Linked DNA regions of Danio rerio. The protein of the gene in region 1 interacts with the protein of each later gene in a biochemical or structural test. Links are inferred from orthologs where the notes say so. Each region holds a gene or a part of one and is shown in the gene's direction. Other genes may lie near its edges.

Evidence for each region.
Region 2: the proteins of glrx5 (region 1) and bola1 form a complex in vitro, tested with the Homo sapiens proteins (2 studies listed by BioGRID). The link is inferred for Danio rerio from reciprocal best matches to the Homo sapiens genes GLRX5 and BOLA1.
Region 3: the proteins of glrx5 (region 1) and bola3 form a complex in vitro, tested with the Homo sapiens proteins (4 studies listed by BioGRID and IntAct, with this or other methods). The link is inferred for Danio rerio from reciprocal best matches to the Homo sapiens genes GLRX5 and BOLA3.

What each region holds. Positions count from the first base shown.
Region 1 is NC_133195.1:10,649,996-10,655,385, reverse strand, and holds the start of glrx5 (glutaredoxin-related protein 5, mitochondrial), read left to right. Parts: upstream 1-2,308; 5' UTR 2,309-2,357; coding exon 2,358-2,652; intron 2,653-5,390.
Region 2 is NC_133191.1:50,673,683-50,679,124, forward strand, and holds the start of bola1 (bolA-like protein 1), read left to right. Parts: upstream 1-1,839; 5' UTR 1,840-1,911; intron 1,912-4,754; 5' UTR 4,755-4,773; coding exon 4,774-5,217; 3' UTR 5,218-5,442. UniProt on the Homo sapiens protein: Acts as a mitochondrial iron-sulfur (Fe-S) cluster assembly factor that facilitates (Fe-S) cluster insertion into a subset of mitochondrial proteins. Probably acts together with the monothiol glutaredoxin GLRX5. May protect cells against oxidative stress.
Region 3 is NC_133182.1:70,718,200-70,723,381, forward strand, and holds the start of bola3 (bolA-like protein 3), read left to right. Parts: upstream 1-1,579; 5' UTR 1,580-1,745; coding exon 1,746-1,775; intron 1,776-1,931; coding exon 1,932-2,061; intron 2,062-4,076; coding exon 4,077-4,165; intron 4,166-5,182. UniProt on the Homo sapiens protein: Acts as a mitochondrial iron-sulfur (Fe-S) cluster assembly factor that facilitates (Fe-S) cluster insertion into a subset of mitochondrial proteins. Probably acts together with NFU1.

The sequences.
Region 1 (5,390 bases):
AGTTTGCAAATATAATTAATTATTATTATAAATTGAGCAAAGCAAGTCTCAAATTACCCTGATTCACTGTACAAGCTCATAAAAATGAAAAAAAAAAAACAATTACAGAACACAACTGTAGGAAAATACTGCAAAAGGTTTTGTACAATTTGTTTTATTTAACAATAAATTAGTTATAAGTGTAAACAAAGCCATTTTAAACACATTTTGTCGAGCAATTCAGGGTCCGTGCTTCTATTCGGTCTCAAACCTATAAAAGAAGTTAATATGAATTAATCAATGGTTCCTCCGCAACACAATGCTACAACTGTGGCAATTCGAAGTGTCTGAAAGGCGCGCTCCTCCTGCCAGACAATATCTGACTGCCGCTGTTTTACTCTGCCTGTTTTTAGATTGGTAACGGTACAACACAACCATTACCGCCGTGGAAACAGGTTAAGATCTGTCGAAAGAATATCGCACGTAAAACTTCAGTCTGGAGAAGTAACGCCTTTGGATCCTTCAGTCTGATCTGTGCAGCTTCGCAGAGTCTCGAGTCACTGGACAAACAGGAGACCGGACCGCGAGACTGCACTGCTTTAATCATGCCAATATGCGTGCAAAAGTAGGCTATCTTAAGCTACTTACTTCATACAAGTAACATTTATGCAGCCTTCAACAACATGTCTCCTCAGCCCATGCAACATCGTGCAGTTAAATAGAGCTTCGTGAATGAATCATTCACTCAGAGTCGAATCCTTAGACTGAGTCATTTTCACAAACACCGTTGTGTATGATTCATGGACAAGTTAGTTTGAACAATTTAAAATTCTTATTGTGTTTACGGTTAAAATATGTCATATTCGTTTTAAATTAATGCTGTGAAACTACAGGGATAAAGAGTTGGTATTAGCACTTTTACTTTAATAACTTGGTTATAAATTAATTTTATAAAGTATTTTAAGTAAACAATAAAATAAGCCAAAACAAAAAATAAAGATTTGATTTTAAAATGTGTTTTATTTAGTTTTATTGAAATATTTTAACATGCAAATATTATAAAATGCAATTATGTATACACAAAAAATAAACAAACAAGCATTAAAAACACAAATGCACGAACAATAAGTAACAATAAAATAGTCATGATTACATGAATTAATACATAAATACACAAATGGGAAAAGGTATACTATAAGTGCGCACACACAACCATGAAACTGTAAGTTTTTTTATTTTTTATTTTTTTATTTATTTATTTATTTTATTTTATTTTTTTTTATGTGTGCTTGCAAAGTAGATCTTCTTTTAAATGAAATACGTTTATATGTGAGGTTTGGAAGAAAAATCTTTAACCTCAAATCCATTCCCAGCGATACAGTGTGGCATGGGCTGGTTTAGTGATTTAGGGGCTCGCAATTCCAGCCATGGGGCCCAAAAGTTCTGAAATGCAACTTTTCTATTTTAAGTTATTTTTAAATGATTTATTTTGCTGTTTCTTTTTCTTATATCTCTCAATCACTCATTTTCTATATTTTGTCTCAAGCCAAAATAATAACAACATGTAAAGCATCTTGAAAACGTTTTAAATGAGTTTTCTTAAAATTAATTCACAACTAAAACTATATATAAAATACGATTTTTTTTTTTTTTTTTAATCTTTACCTAATTTGACTGCTGGACTTCTCCATGACTGAGGGGGTGATACATTTGCGCAGATGTAATAAACAATAAACATTTATTTTTTTATTATACACTCATCATAAAAAATATGACAGAAAATTGTGTTATATATAATTTATAGGTATAATTTATAATTATAGGTATTTATTTTGGGGCCCTCAGATTTCCTTGTTCCCTAAACTGCCGCTTATCTTGCTTATTGATTAAATCCACCCGAGTGTGGATTATTTACCATGGTTTATTTGAAATGAATCGATCAGTTTAAATGAGTCGATTCTAGAAGATGAATCAGTTGACTACCGGAAGAAAAACTTTAGCGTACATTTTAACCGGATGCAAACGCCTCCACTCCACTTCTTTCAGCAAAAACAAACAAACGTGTTTTAGTTACAGTGACAACAAATGCAAGTAGACACATTTAATCACATTTTTTCGCACCGTATAAACTGAAATTATTAGAGATGAAAATAAAAAAATCGTAACATTTCGTAACATTCACGACTGACGTATTCTTCAACCAATCATAGGGGAGAAGAAAAACCCGACATCCAATAAACTTCACTCGCTGAGTGTTTATACTAGAAGAGGTGGAGCTTGAGTCCAGTCTCCAGTGAGTTCTACGTCGCGGCAAAAGAGAAGTGACAAACGAACTTAAACTGCTTCAAATATCCCCCTAAACCGCGCAGACTTGCACAATGAATAGCGTTTTTAGGTCGACAGCGCGGTGTCTTCGCTCGGCGACATGGCAGTACAAAACCGCGCATAAGAACGGGGAGCTGTCGGTCGGCAGGGCCCGTCTCATGTGCTCCTCAGCGGGACAGAAGAACCTGGAGGAGATGGTGAAGAAGGACAAGGTGGTCGTGTTCATGAAAGGCACTCCGGCTCAGCCCATGTGCGGCTTCAGCAACGCCGTCGTTCAGATCCTCAGGATGCACGGAGTCGATAATTACGCTTCTTATAACGTGTTGGATGACCAGGATGTCAGACAAGGTCAGTGGCTGATGGTCTCTGGGGGTTGGAGGATTTGTAGAGTTTTAAAACTGGTTAGAGTTACATTTTGACTTGGGTGAAGTGCTAATCTCTAGTGTGATTATTCTTGAGCATATAGCATGCTAATCAGAAATAACTAGTTTAAAGGTCAAATTTAAGCTGTCACTTTAAAAAAAAATGTAAGTTATAAGTATATCTTAAGTGTAACGCTTTATGTGCATATATTTGCAAACATATTAAGGTAAAGTTAGTTTTAAATTCAGTCATTATGGCCTTTTCCTTGATAATATAATTTCTGTTAAGTATTCTTTGCAAATACTAAGTAATGAAATCAGCCCATGACTATTAAAGTACATTGTTCACAGACCACTTAATAGTGCTAATTGTGTTTTTAAGTAAGTTAATACTTGCATGTGACTTCAGAATAGTGGTTAAGTTGGTTTTATATTTGGATATTCAGACATTCTACTAAATAATATAATTTCAGAAACGTATTCTTTGCAAATTCTAAAAAGAGAAATTATTTTAGCACCAAATACTATCAAAGTACAGCATTGTTCACAGTGAAATACAGTGTGTTAATGTTGTTTAGTAGTCATACTTGCATGCTAATTCCGATCAAATATTCAAAGTAACATGGTAAATAATATTGAGACTTCTAAATGAACGAATGACCTACACTTCAAATAACAGATCATTTAAATACTGTATATGATGTACAGTCCTCTCTCATAGTACTAAATTAGTAAAAAACAACATTAATAAAATGGTTCTCATCAATTTCTCAATATTAACTAATGAATTGTAAAAAAAAAAAAAAAACTAAATAAAAATAATGACACTTTAATAATTACTTGATTTCTCATAAAGTTTGAAACTTCACCTTATCATCTCAACATTATCAGCTTTTACTGTTAATACATTATCAATATAACAATCCCCTAACAGTGATTTAACATATGAATTAACATAACATTAATCAATATAATGACTTGAGAAAGATATATACAAGTATACAAAACACCACCCATTCTTGTCATAGGACAAATTTTAAACGAGGTAAAGTTGGGTTTATATTCAGTGACAACTTATGATAAGTTCCATATTTTTGAATATTCGTTCTGAAATCATAGAGGTAAAGTTGGTTTTATATTCACTCTGTTCTTATGGGAAACCAAAGCATCATTACATGACAGTGTTCCATTATTTTAGGATGCTTATTCAGACATCTATCAACTATATTGTTTTATTTTAAGTTTAGCATCATCACAAGGAAATTCCTCATTATTATGGGGAACTTTTATAAATGTTATACATCGTTGCACACAATAATGGTTTGGCATCTCTTATTATTACTATTTTATTATTATTTATCAATTTGAAAAAGTTTCTCGTTGCTCATATATTCCATCACCAGTCACAAGATATCAACGAGAGATTTTGAAGTTATAAGTCAATTTAAAAATGATGTTTTTAAGTCCCAATAACCAGAAAATTCTGTATTTTTATTAATCCTAATTTTTGCATGTTTTGTATCTAATATGAGAGATTACTGAGACATTTGTCATGAGGACATTTTTCATTGTTTTAAGGAATGTTATCATTAAGAGGCAGTTTTGAAATAGTTTTGTCTTCTTGTAATAGCACCAAGGAGTCCATTATTGGTCGTTATACTAGTCTTATATTGCTTAATATGAGATCATAAAAATGTTTTTTTTTCCTCATTATTATGTGGTAATATTGCCTTGATGTTACACTAAGTTATGAGATTGAAGCAATTTGTACAAGATAAAGGTACGTTGTTGTTGTTGTTGTTGTGTTTTTTTTTTCTCAGAAGTTTTCCACAAGATACTAGACCTTAAAAGGAAAGTTCACCCAAAAAAAAGAAAAATTGTCATCTTTTTTACTTAGCCTTCACTTGTTAAAAACCTTTTTTGAGTTACTTAATATTTGACAGCTTGTATTTTCATTTGTAGTTAAAATGTATGCATATTTTAAAAAAGTTGAAATAACAAATTATTTAAGTAATTCAAAAATATTTAAAATACCTGCAGATTTTTTTATTTATTTATTTATTTATTTATTTATTTATTTATTTATTTATTTATTTATTTATTTATTTATTTTTCTTAAAACAATTTATTTGTTGATAACTTGGGTCTAAAACTGAATTAGTCCAGCATATGTGTGCTAACGGCAACAGCAGTGCTGTCAGCTCTGATTGTCTTTATCAGTCCAGAGCAGCAGGAAGAATTTGGGGAGTTAACCTTAAATGGCTGAGGTTAGTTTGCAAACAGTAAAGCCTTGACTTGAAAGTTTAGGACCAGGCAGTTTAAAGGAAACAAAGTAGATGACAATTTAAAATGAATGCTACAACATGGTGCAAGTAGCATCCTGTTTAACATAAATTAATAATTAATGTTACTTCTCAAATGCATATATCATTCATATATTATATTATATATATATATATATATATATATATATATATATACACACACACACACACACACACACACACACACACACACACACACACACAATAATTCATAATGAAAAAAAAAATGAAAAAGAGAAATCATGATTTCCAGCTATAAAAGACACAATTTTTTTCACCAGAAAATAGTTATATAGCATATTGTTATGGCCTGAAGGGTCTTGTTTAATTATTATTAGAAATTATCAATTTATTTATTAGATTTTAAATTGTATTTATTTTGTTGACTAGTTGTTGTCTA
Region 2 (5,442 bases), on another chromosome or scaffold:
CAAAGATATTCTAATAGAAATATATTAGATAGAAATAGTTAAAAAGTCAAAAATAGAAAACTTAAATTTTAGCGTATACCTCACTGCTTTTAATGCCATCCGCAGATGTCTTTGGCCATCAGCCATCATAAGAGCTGAATGGAGTGAGGACCTAATTAAAAATGCTGGACTCTGCTGTTTTAATTTTATATCAGGTAAGTTCACGCTATGCTGAATTATACACATTACTCGTTTTTGATTGCAGCAATGATTTCAGCAAAAACAATTAAATATTGTTCATTAAACTTCAGACACTGAATGCTTAGAATGAAATGTAAAAATGTACATTCAGATACTCTGCCGTAAAGGTGCAGTTCGCTGTCAGAATGCAGTTGATGATAAATTACCCTGGCCTTGTATAGCTTCAACTTCTTTCCTTGTCTTTGGCAAGGCAGAACCTCGGTTTTTTTGCACGAGAAAGTTTTAAATCTGCAACCTCAGGTAATTCGCCATTGGTTATCCTCAAGAAATTAAAATGAATATTGTGACCATTTATTTGCCGCCAGATCAAAATAAATGCTCTGAATGTTTTGATTGAATTTTAGGGTGATGCAAAAGTCACAATCATGTCTTAAATATATCGTTTTAGAAATTAAAGACATAAAACAGTAAAGTAATGTTTAATTCTAGTTTGTAATTATTTTAGCAAGTTCTATCTTTTAAAATTCACATTCAATCTAAACGTCTATACTAAACGTGTTGAAAACGTAAATGTCTTGTCTTAGGTTTAACTTAGGCTAGAAAGCCTACATTCTGTTAAATTACATGAATTATACACCATGAATATGCAACATAAAACGACTAAAGGAAAAATGTCGAGTGGTTTACAGTACTGGATGTTTTCTATCTTAAATAATTTATTCAATTTTTGTATTTTTTGTTTCTTGCAATCAACAAACGTTTATTATTATTATTTATTTTGTCCTTTGTTTGGTTATTTTCGTAATCAGATATGTAAGCTGTTTGCATTATTCAAAGGTTAACGCAGTGCCTACACTTTGCGTTTACACTATAGCCTGCGTTTGCTGTTATGTAAATTCAAATGGTTGTAATACCATGTATCAAGTATCAATGTAATACCAAAAGGTTTTATATCAATTTATTAAAAGACTAAGTCTCCGGCAGGCGAGAATCTAGCCGGAATTGGCCTGAGTGTATTGCTATCTGGGTGTTGTTACAGTATAGGCTAAATCAGGGGTCACCAATCCTGGTACGGGTGGGCCGGTGTCCCTGCAGGGTTTAGCTCCATCTTGCCTCAAAACACCTGCCTGAATGTTTCAAGCATACCTTGTAAGACCTTGATTAGCTTGTTCAGGTGTGTTTGATTAGGGTTGGAGCTAAAATCTGTAGGACACTGGCCCTCCAGGAGCAAGTTTGGTGACCACTGGGCTAAATGTTTACTACAAATTACTTCAAGCTTACCTCAATGAATCATCTTGGCGGTAAACTTCGCGCTTTTCTGATTAAACATAAACCGCCTGCTTTAATTTGATTGGACCTTTGATTTGAGATTTGTTTTGGAAAACTGAACAGATAAGCTTAAAATTGTTTTAAAAATGTTTAAGCCTTTAAAATCACTAACAACATGTTTCAGTCAATACTGTTGTGTTTACTGTCTCTGGAGTTTCCAATAGATATATGATTTATGTAATAATTAATTAAATCCATTTAGTATAACCAAAGCCCCCTTTAATAGACAGACTTTGCAGTATATCCCAATAACAGAACAGCTCGCGCATCTGACGTAACTCCCTGTACAGGCGTTAGAGGGCAGTAAAGTCATTTCAGCTGCTTGCAATCCAAACTGTGAAGGAGGATCTGCCTGAATCGCTTCCTGTGTGTGATACAATAACAACACGCTGAAGAGCAAAGGTGAGTAAAATTATTTTGCCAGTCTGTAATTTGTCATTGTGTCGATTTTAACATATTTTAGCACCTGTTTATATATATTTTTAGACTGGTTGTCATGTTAAGCTGCATTCATTTTATGACATGTCTTACGCTGTTCTTGTAGATATGTACTTGCACCGGTAACGTTAACTTATTTGTTTTTGTTTTAAGATTTCTAACTGATGGCGGCCAATATGTTTCAACCCTATTTAAGCAAGCGTTTGCGGTCTTTCTCTGTTTTGCTGAAGATATAGAGTGTTCAAAGTGTTTCGGTTCACTTCAATAACGTTTCATAAGTCAGATAAACAAAATATGAGTTCTGTTATAGGCTCAGGTATCTTTAATAATACAGTAAAACAAATAATGTTTTAATGAGCATATTGCTGACTTTTAAATCTCGATTTTTCTATCAAAATTCGCAATTTCTAAAGAAAATTTCGAAGTTTTGTAATTGTTTTTATATCACGTTAAGGACATGGTGTTTTGAAGGGAAAATAATAAACAAACAATATATTAACTAAACCTAAATCTGGATATTCATTTTATTTCCCGCTTAGTCCCTTTTATTAACCTGTGGTCTACACAGCGGAATAAACCGCCAACTTATCCAGCTTATGTTTTACGCGGAGGATGCCCTTCCAGCTCAACCCATCTCTGGAAAACATCCATACACTCTCATTCACACTCATACACTATACTACGGATAATTTAGCTCACCCAATTCACCTGTACCGCATGTGTTTGGACTGTTGGGGGAAACCGGAGCACCCGGAGGAAACCCATACGAACGTTGGGAGAACATGCAATCTCCACACAGACACGCCAGCGACTTCCTTGCTGTGAGGCGACAGCACTACCTACTGTGCCACCATGTCGCCCAAAGATGAATATTATTATACCAAATTATCCGAGTTTCTTTCTTCATTTGAACATGAAAAAAGATACACTGATGAATCCTGGAAAAAACAACAACCATTGACTTAGTGTTTTTTGGTTTGTTTGTTTCTTCTATGGTTTCAATTACTTATTTTCCCCCAACATTCTACAGAATATCTTCTTTTGTTTTCGAACTTATTAAGTGTAAGTAAATGGTGGGGAAATGTTTTTTTTTTTGTGAACTGTCCATTTAAAAGCCAAACTTGCATGGCTAGTGGGCTGAAGGTAAATGCAGTTGCCATGGCTAATTTCCTAATTTACATTTACATTTAGTCATTTAGCAGACGCTTTTATCCAAAGCGACTTACAAATGAGGACAAGGAAGCAATTTACACAACTAAGAGCAACAATGAATAAGTGCTATAGGCAAGTTTCAGGTCTGTAAAGTCTAAGAAGGAAAGTATTAGTAGTATTAGTATTTTTATTTTTTCTTGGGTACAGTTTGTGTAATATTCAGAGGCAATTGCAGATTAGGAAGTGAAGTGGAGACTAAATAGTTGAGTTTTTAGTCGTTTCTTGAAATTAGCGAGTTACTCTGCTGTTCTGATGCAGTTAGGGAGTTCATTCCACCAGCTGGGCAGATTGAGCATGAGCGTTCGCGAAAGTGATTTCTTCCCTCTTTGGGATGGAACCACAAGGCGACGTTCATTCACAGAACGCAAGTTTCTGGAGGGCACATAGATCTGCAGAAGTGAGAGCAGATGAGAAGGAGCAAGGCCAGAAGTCACTTTGTAGGCAAACATCAGAGCTTTGAATTTGATGCGAGCAGCAACTGGCAGCCAGTGCAAACGGACTAGCAGCGGAGTGACATGTGCTCGTTTAGGTTCATTGAAGACCACTCGTGCTGCTGCGTTCTGGAGCAGTTGAAGAGGCTTGATAGAGTTAGCTGGAAGCCCAGCTAGTAGAGAGTTGCAGTAATCCAGTTTGGAGAGAACAAGAGCTTGAACAAGGAGTTGAGCTGCATGTTCAGATAAGAAGGGTCGGATCTTTCTGATGTTATAGAGTGCGAATCTGCACGATCGAGCAGTTCTAGAAATGTGGTTAGAGAAGTTTAGTTGGTCATCAATCGTTACTCCAAGGCTTTTCACCATTTTGGATGCAGTAATGGTTGCCCCATTTTATTTAATAATATTTAAAATGACTAGAAAACATTGCTTTGTATCAACTAATACAGCAAATATTATATTTTATTATAAACTTATTACAGTAAAAACAATGTCATTTATAACAGAATTAAACTAGTTTTGCCTTGATTTGCTACCTAATGTCTTCTGCATAGTCCTCTATCCATTGAGTGACATTATTTACTGTACATTTACAAAAATCTGATTCATTTACATAAATTGAAACAAATTTCTGGCAAAGCTTTTTTATAGCTCAACAATAAAACAAACAAGCAAAAAAACTTTACATCATATTAGAAATAACATTCGCCTTCGCCCAAACCTCTCCATCATTCTCACTCTCCTTACCGGTGGTGGGCCAAATCAAAAGTTACAATGGGCCAACTTTGGCCTGCGGGCACTACTTTGGGCATCTCTGATTTAAAGGGATAGTTCACTCAAAAACACAAATTTACAGACACTCAAGGGGGTTTCAGCCACTTAATATATTAGCTTCTTTATTCTGTTGAGCACTAAAGAACATATTTTGATGAAAAAAGCTGAAAACCTGTAACCATTGACTTCCATAGCAGGATAAACCAATACTATGGAAGTCAATGGTTACAGTTTTACAACATTTTTCAAAATATCTTCTTTTTGTGATTAACAGAAGAAAGACAAACAAGTAAATGGTGAGCTAATTATGACATAATTTTCAGTTTTTGGTGAACTATCCCTTAATCACTTGTTTTTAACCGCTTGTCATGAAACTTTAACATCTTGCAGGTGTTTTCCTCCACGCCTGATGCTGTCCAGTGCTCTACGCTGCCTGCGTCCCATCTCCAGCACCCTTGTCTTATCCAGACCTCTCGCTCACCACATGGACCCAAGTGTTCCCCGTCCCGTAGAGACCACCATACGCACCAAACTGAGCAAGGCCCTCAATCCTGAGCACCTGGAGGTCATAAATGAGAGCCACATGCACGCCGTTCCCCCTGGATCAGAGTCCCACTTCAAAGTTCTGGTGGTGAGTCCTCAGTTCGAAGGTCTTTCCTTGTTACAGCGTCACCGGCTGGTAAACGAGACCCTGAAGGAGGAGCTCAGTACCTGCATCCATGCGCTCTCTATCCAGGCCAAGACGCCTCAGCAGTGGAGCAGCAACCCCAGCCTGGCAAAAAGCCCTCCATGCATGGGGGGATCCAGACATGATCACACTATGGCAGAGAAACTAAAGGCGGGTAGAGACTGACTGACATTACAGAAACAAAAACTGGGTAATATTAGATATTCAGTCGGATAAATGCACTGTAACAAAATGATCAGTTGACTTTTCTTAAAATAAGTGAGTAAACCTGTTGCCTTATCATTTAAGTACATTAACTGTGTGCATAAATATAAACATTTAAGTTAAATCAACTTAAAAGGTTACAAGTTATGATTGGTTTACTCGCTTTAAGTAAATAATCACTTTTTA
Region 3 (5,182 bases), on another chromosome or scaffold:
AAACAAGTCATGTTGTGCGGTAGGATGCCAAAATCGGAAAAAATAGAAAACCTAAATTTTACTGTACACCACACTGCTTTTAATGATAGCCGTAGACGACTTTGGCTAACAGCCATCAGTAGAGCTGAATGGAGTGAGGACCTTATTAAAAATGCTCGGCTCTGCAGTTCTCATTTCACATGAGGTAAGTACTCGATTACTTGATTTTGATTGCAGCTATGATTTCAGCAAAAAACGTTAAATATGGTGAATTAAACTGCAGACACTGAATGCTTAGAATGAAATGTAAAAATTTAAGTTCACACTGCCATGCAGGTGCAGTTCACTGTCAGAATGCAGTTGTTTTGCTTGTTGATGATTACCCAGGCCATCATGTATAGCTCCTTCTTCTTTCCTTGTCTTTGGCTAGGCAGAACCTCGGTTTTTTGCACTACAGAGTTTTGAATCTGGAAGTAATGGAACATAATTTCTTGCACATGACCACACAGAACATGTTGGCATCCAAAGACTTGTAGGCCTTTAAATTCTCTCTTGTAAAACCATGTCGAGTTTCAATGAGATAGTTGTATATTTTGGGCTGGATGCTTGGCCATTTCGACTTATCCAATATCCATTGGGAGGGTGCTACCGCAAATGGACCTGTCAGATGAACACCGCTCACTTTAACATTAATTTTGCCTAATAACTGTGTTTAACACTGGGTGACGAGCTGTTTCAATACCCTGAAAGCATTATATAATTATTATATGTAATCAATATAACTTATCTCTAATACAACAACAAACATTCCCTCGCTGTAAATGCTTGCACTCCTGGTTTTTTCTGCAACCTCGCTGCATGCGCATCCTGAATGTTTACAAACTGATAATTCGCTTATAAATGTACCTGCAAAATCTGGCACTGATTATAATGGGGATTATATTGGGTTTTAATGGAAACCTTTTATGGACATTTTTGCCATCTATTATTTGCATATTCAAACTAATAAATTCTAATGGAATATGTCCCAAAAACACACTAGAAAACATTCAAATGTACAGGTTTAAAAGTCAAAATATGATTGTAATTGTTTAATTATATTCGTAACCTATTAGAATCTTTTGTGATGGTTTCCTTTATTTCATTTTGGTTCCTTGGTAATAATAATAGCAAAATAACTATAATAATAATAATTGTATATATGAAAAAAATGTTTTGTCCACATAAATTAATCAACAAAGTAACACTTTAGTTTAAGTATTTTTACTAACAAAAAGTAAAGATTATTAAAAAATATGTTTATTATGCAGTTTATTATGGTTTTATACATCCCTACTGCCCCTATTTCTATTTAATAGCAGTTGTAATTACTAGACTATTAATAAGAAGCAAATTATAAGTTTATCTTGGCAAATGGTTTGGATATTAACAGCGGGAATTGTGCCTTAAAATAAAGTGTGTCCATTAACAAACATTACTCTGAAATGCGACCGCTTCTCTAGTAACTTTGAGAAGAAGTCTGTGAATCTTTTAGGGAACATAGTCAAAAGATTCGAATCCAGAGAAAAGTTCAAATCCCTCACATTTGCAAAATTAATTTACAGTTTGATCACAGGGAGGCGCTAGAGAAATGTTTCTGAAGATCGTGACGACATATTCCTGAGACAGGCGCTGGAATTGAACAGGACATGACTTTGTCAAGTGTATTTTGTGCTCAATATATTTTATGACATTTTGGTGAATTTAAAAACTCCATCGACACCATCATGTCTCTGCTTAGAGCCATCAGACACAACGTAAATATACCAATCCTATCTGTCTTTATTTTGACCGAGGTGTTTTTGTTTGCTGAGCATTTGTTCAAGATGACAGTACATGTGTCGCGTTGAGAGATTAGTTTGCTTGTTAAATATAAGATACACTGTTTATGTTATGTTTCCTTGTGTCTTTAGCCTCAGGTGCTGTGTAGAAATATAATCGCGAGGTCTTTATCCAGTCAGACCGACGGAGAGGTGAGAATCGCACAAGTATTGAAGGAGAAGTTTCCTCAAGCTACAGCTCTTAAAGTTGTGGATATATCAGGTGAGTCTCGACCGACCCTGAATTAAAGGGATAGTTCACCCAAAAATTTAGGTTATGTCATCATTTCCTCATCTTCCACTTGTTCCATACATGTTTGAGTTTCTTCTGTAGGAATAAAAAGTTTTAGGAATATGTAGACTACTGCTGAAAGTTGGAAAAGCAGCTGTCGACGTTTATAATGTGGTAAAGTTGGTTTTATATGTTTACGTTTGTTCGTTTTTTAGCTATGACAACTTGTGACGTTACTTTGAATATTCGGCATGATTCATTTAAGAGATGTTGTACTTTGATAGTCATTGGCGGCTAATATGATTTCCTTGTTCCGAATGTGCAAAGAATACTGTTCTTAAAGTATATCATTAAGGAGAAAGTCGGAATGTTCAAATATAAAACCAGCTTTACCTAAATTACTTTCGTAGAGTTTTTTTTACTAATATGGAGGCCAGTGGCTGCTCTTTTCAACATTATTTAGAATGTTAGGCATTCATGAAAGTTTTGAACCACTGTGAGTAAATAGTGAAGCAATAAATGGAGAGTTCAGATGCAAAACCCTCCAAATAGCAGACCTCTTTTCTTGTAAATCATTATTTTCTATCAGGCTTTTATAATTAGGTTCAGAAGTTTTATTTTATAGCTAATGATAATGTTATTAGCTAGTAAATTAAATTTTTATTTAATTTATTTTCCAAAAATGTCACTTTAGACAATTTTTTTTGTTTTTTAAGAAAGTAGATTTTCTTTTGCGTCAACCAGCTAAATCCACCTCTGCTTTTTTTTTTTTTTTTTTTGTTGCAAGAACCTCTAAATCCACCTATTGGGACAAGACAGTGTAATTAGTTAAAAAAATCACTAAAGATGCAATTAAAAATTATTTTACCAAACATTAAACACCTAAAACTAAAAATATTCAAATCTGTCAAGTAAGTGGCGGTTCATTCCGCTGTGGTAACCCCTGATAAACCAGGGACAAAGTAGAAGGAAAATGAATGAATGAAATCTGTCAAGTAAGTGCATCAATCAATTACATTAAAATTGATATGAATTAAATCTTAATCTGTTGTCATTTCTGATATTTGGGATTTAGATTTAATGTAAATAGAGCAATGTAAACATTTGTAAAAACATTGTAAATCATCAATAACTGCTTTGTCCATTAATATAAAAAGCTTATTAGGTATATAACTATTATGAAGTATAAATCTTCTTCAAGATTAAAAAATTAATCTTTTTAAAAATAGCTTACAATAGCAAATAGAACACAAGGTAGGCCTACTAGTCAAAAAGGGGACACTTTTAAAAGCTGTCATTCATTCCATACTCACAGTCTTTGTCTATTGTTTATCCTCATAGCATCCATACGGGACAAAAGAACGCCATCTTAACTCTGTCATTCGTGAAATGGAGTTGCCGTTTAATGTATAGTTAGCCGGACTCATTCAAAATAGTGTCACTACACAAAAAAAAAAACATTATGAATGCATGCTACACTTCTGACTGTACAGTGTATTGTCTTTTCCTTATAATGCACAGAGTTTTAAGGTAAGGGACGTTTTCATTTGCCACTCACTGACAGTCGGACAAGCTCATCCAATTCCTCAAACTCCATCTTTTAAAATCGAAAGCAGAATAAAACAGTCTCCTCACAAAAGCTGCCGTATCAGCGCACCGCTACATTAAAAACATATGATTCAATTTGCGCCTTCTGATTGGTTCTCGGGATATATCGGCTTTTGCTGTCAAAAGCAAGTGGCATTTAGGGGCTTTTGCCAACAAACTGTTATTTCTGAATGGGCTGATGCTGAGATTTAAATGATTTCAAGCAAAAATATTTGTTGAACATGTACTACGTGCCTAAAGCATTCACTCAGTGTCGTTATCTTATTTTTGGCGGAAATGGATGTTTGGCTTTTGCATCTGAACTCTTGATATTTTAATTTATTTGTTTTAGGTTAATTATCCCTTTAAGCTTCAGATCTTATGTTTAAAGACCTGTAGTAATGTATTTGTAATTTCAGGAGGATGTGGTGCAATGTATGAAATACACATCGAGTCTGATGAATTTAAAGGAAAGAGAACAGTACAGCAACACCAATTAGTCAATCAAGTAAGTAAAAAAGCAAATGGGTTCAAAATACTCGAATAATAGTGCAGTGCACTTTGTTTTTACTCTGTTTTAATTCAATTTTTTATAAACATAGTGTACACATAACATTTACTTAGAATGTTTACAGTCACAAAAATAAAATAATAGATAAATGGTAATAATAGATCAATTATTATAATAAATAAATAACAGTGACTGCTTAAAAAAGACAATGCATTACAATAAAAGGGGAAAAAAGGAAAAAAGTAGATAAATGCATAAATAAACTCCAATACAAAGACAATACCTACAACATAGGCCCTGACAGCATTTTAACAATCAAGTAAATATGTTTCGATTAATGCCTAGGCCAATTGGAAAATGTCTGATTTCAACTGCAAATCTGCAGACATTTTTCTCAAATCTATATATATATATATATATATATATATACAGTTGAAGTCAGAATTATTAGCCCCCTTCACATTTTCATATATATATATATATATATATATATATATATATATATATATATATATATATATATATATATATATATATATATCTATATATACACACACACAGGGCTTTACATTAACTTTTTTGATCACCAGCCACTGTGGCTAGTAGATTTCCAACATTACTAGCCACTTGCCATTATCAATAGCCACAATTTTGTTGTTTGGAAAATATATTTTATATACATAAATGTGACTTTGACATGCTAAAATGACTTGATTTAGATGTTGTGTTGTCCACATGCCTCCTCATTAATTTCACTATGTGTGTTGTGTATGAGCTTGCTCACTGTGCATGAGCAAATAGGTTGTGTTGCATTGCAATTGTATGTATATATATATATATATATATATATATATATATATATATATATATATATATATATATATACTGGATGCATGATATGACGTATCATATAACTTTACTAATCTTCCTTTAAACGTCCTGCCAGTACACTTCAATTTTAGGACATTCCCAAATTATGTCATCATAGTCCCCCACTTCTCCACAATTACAGCA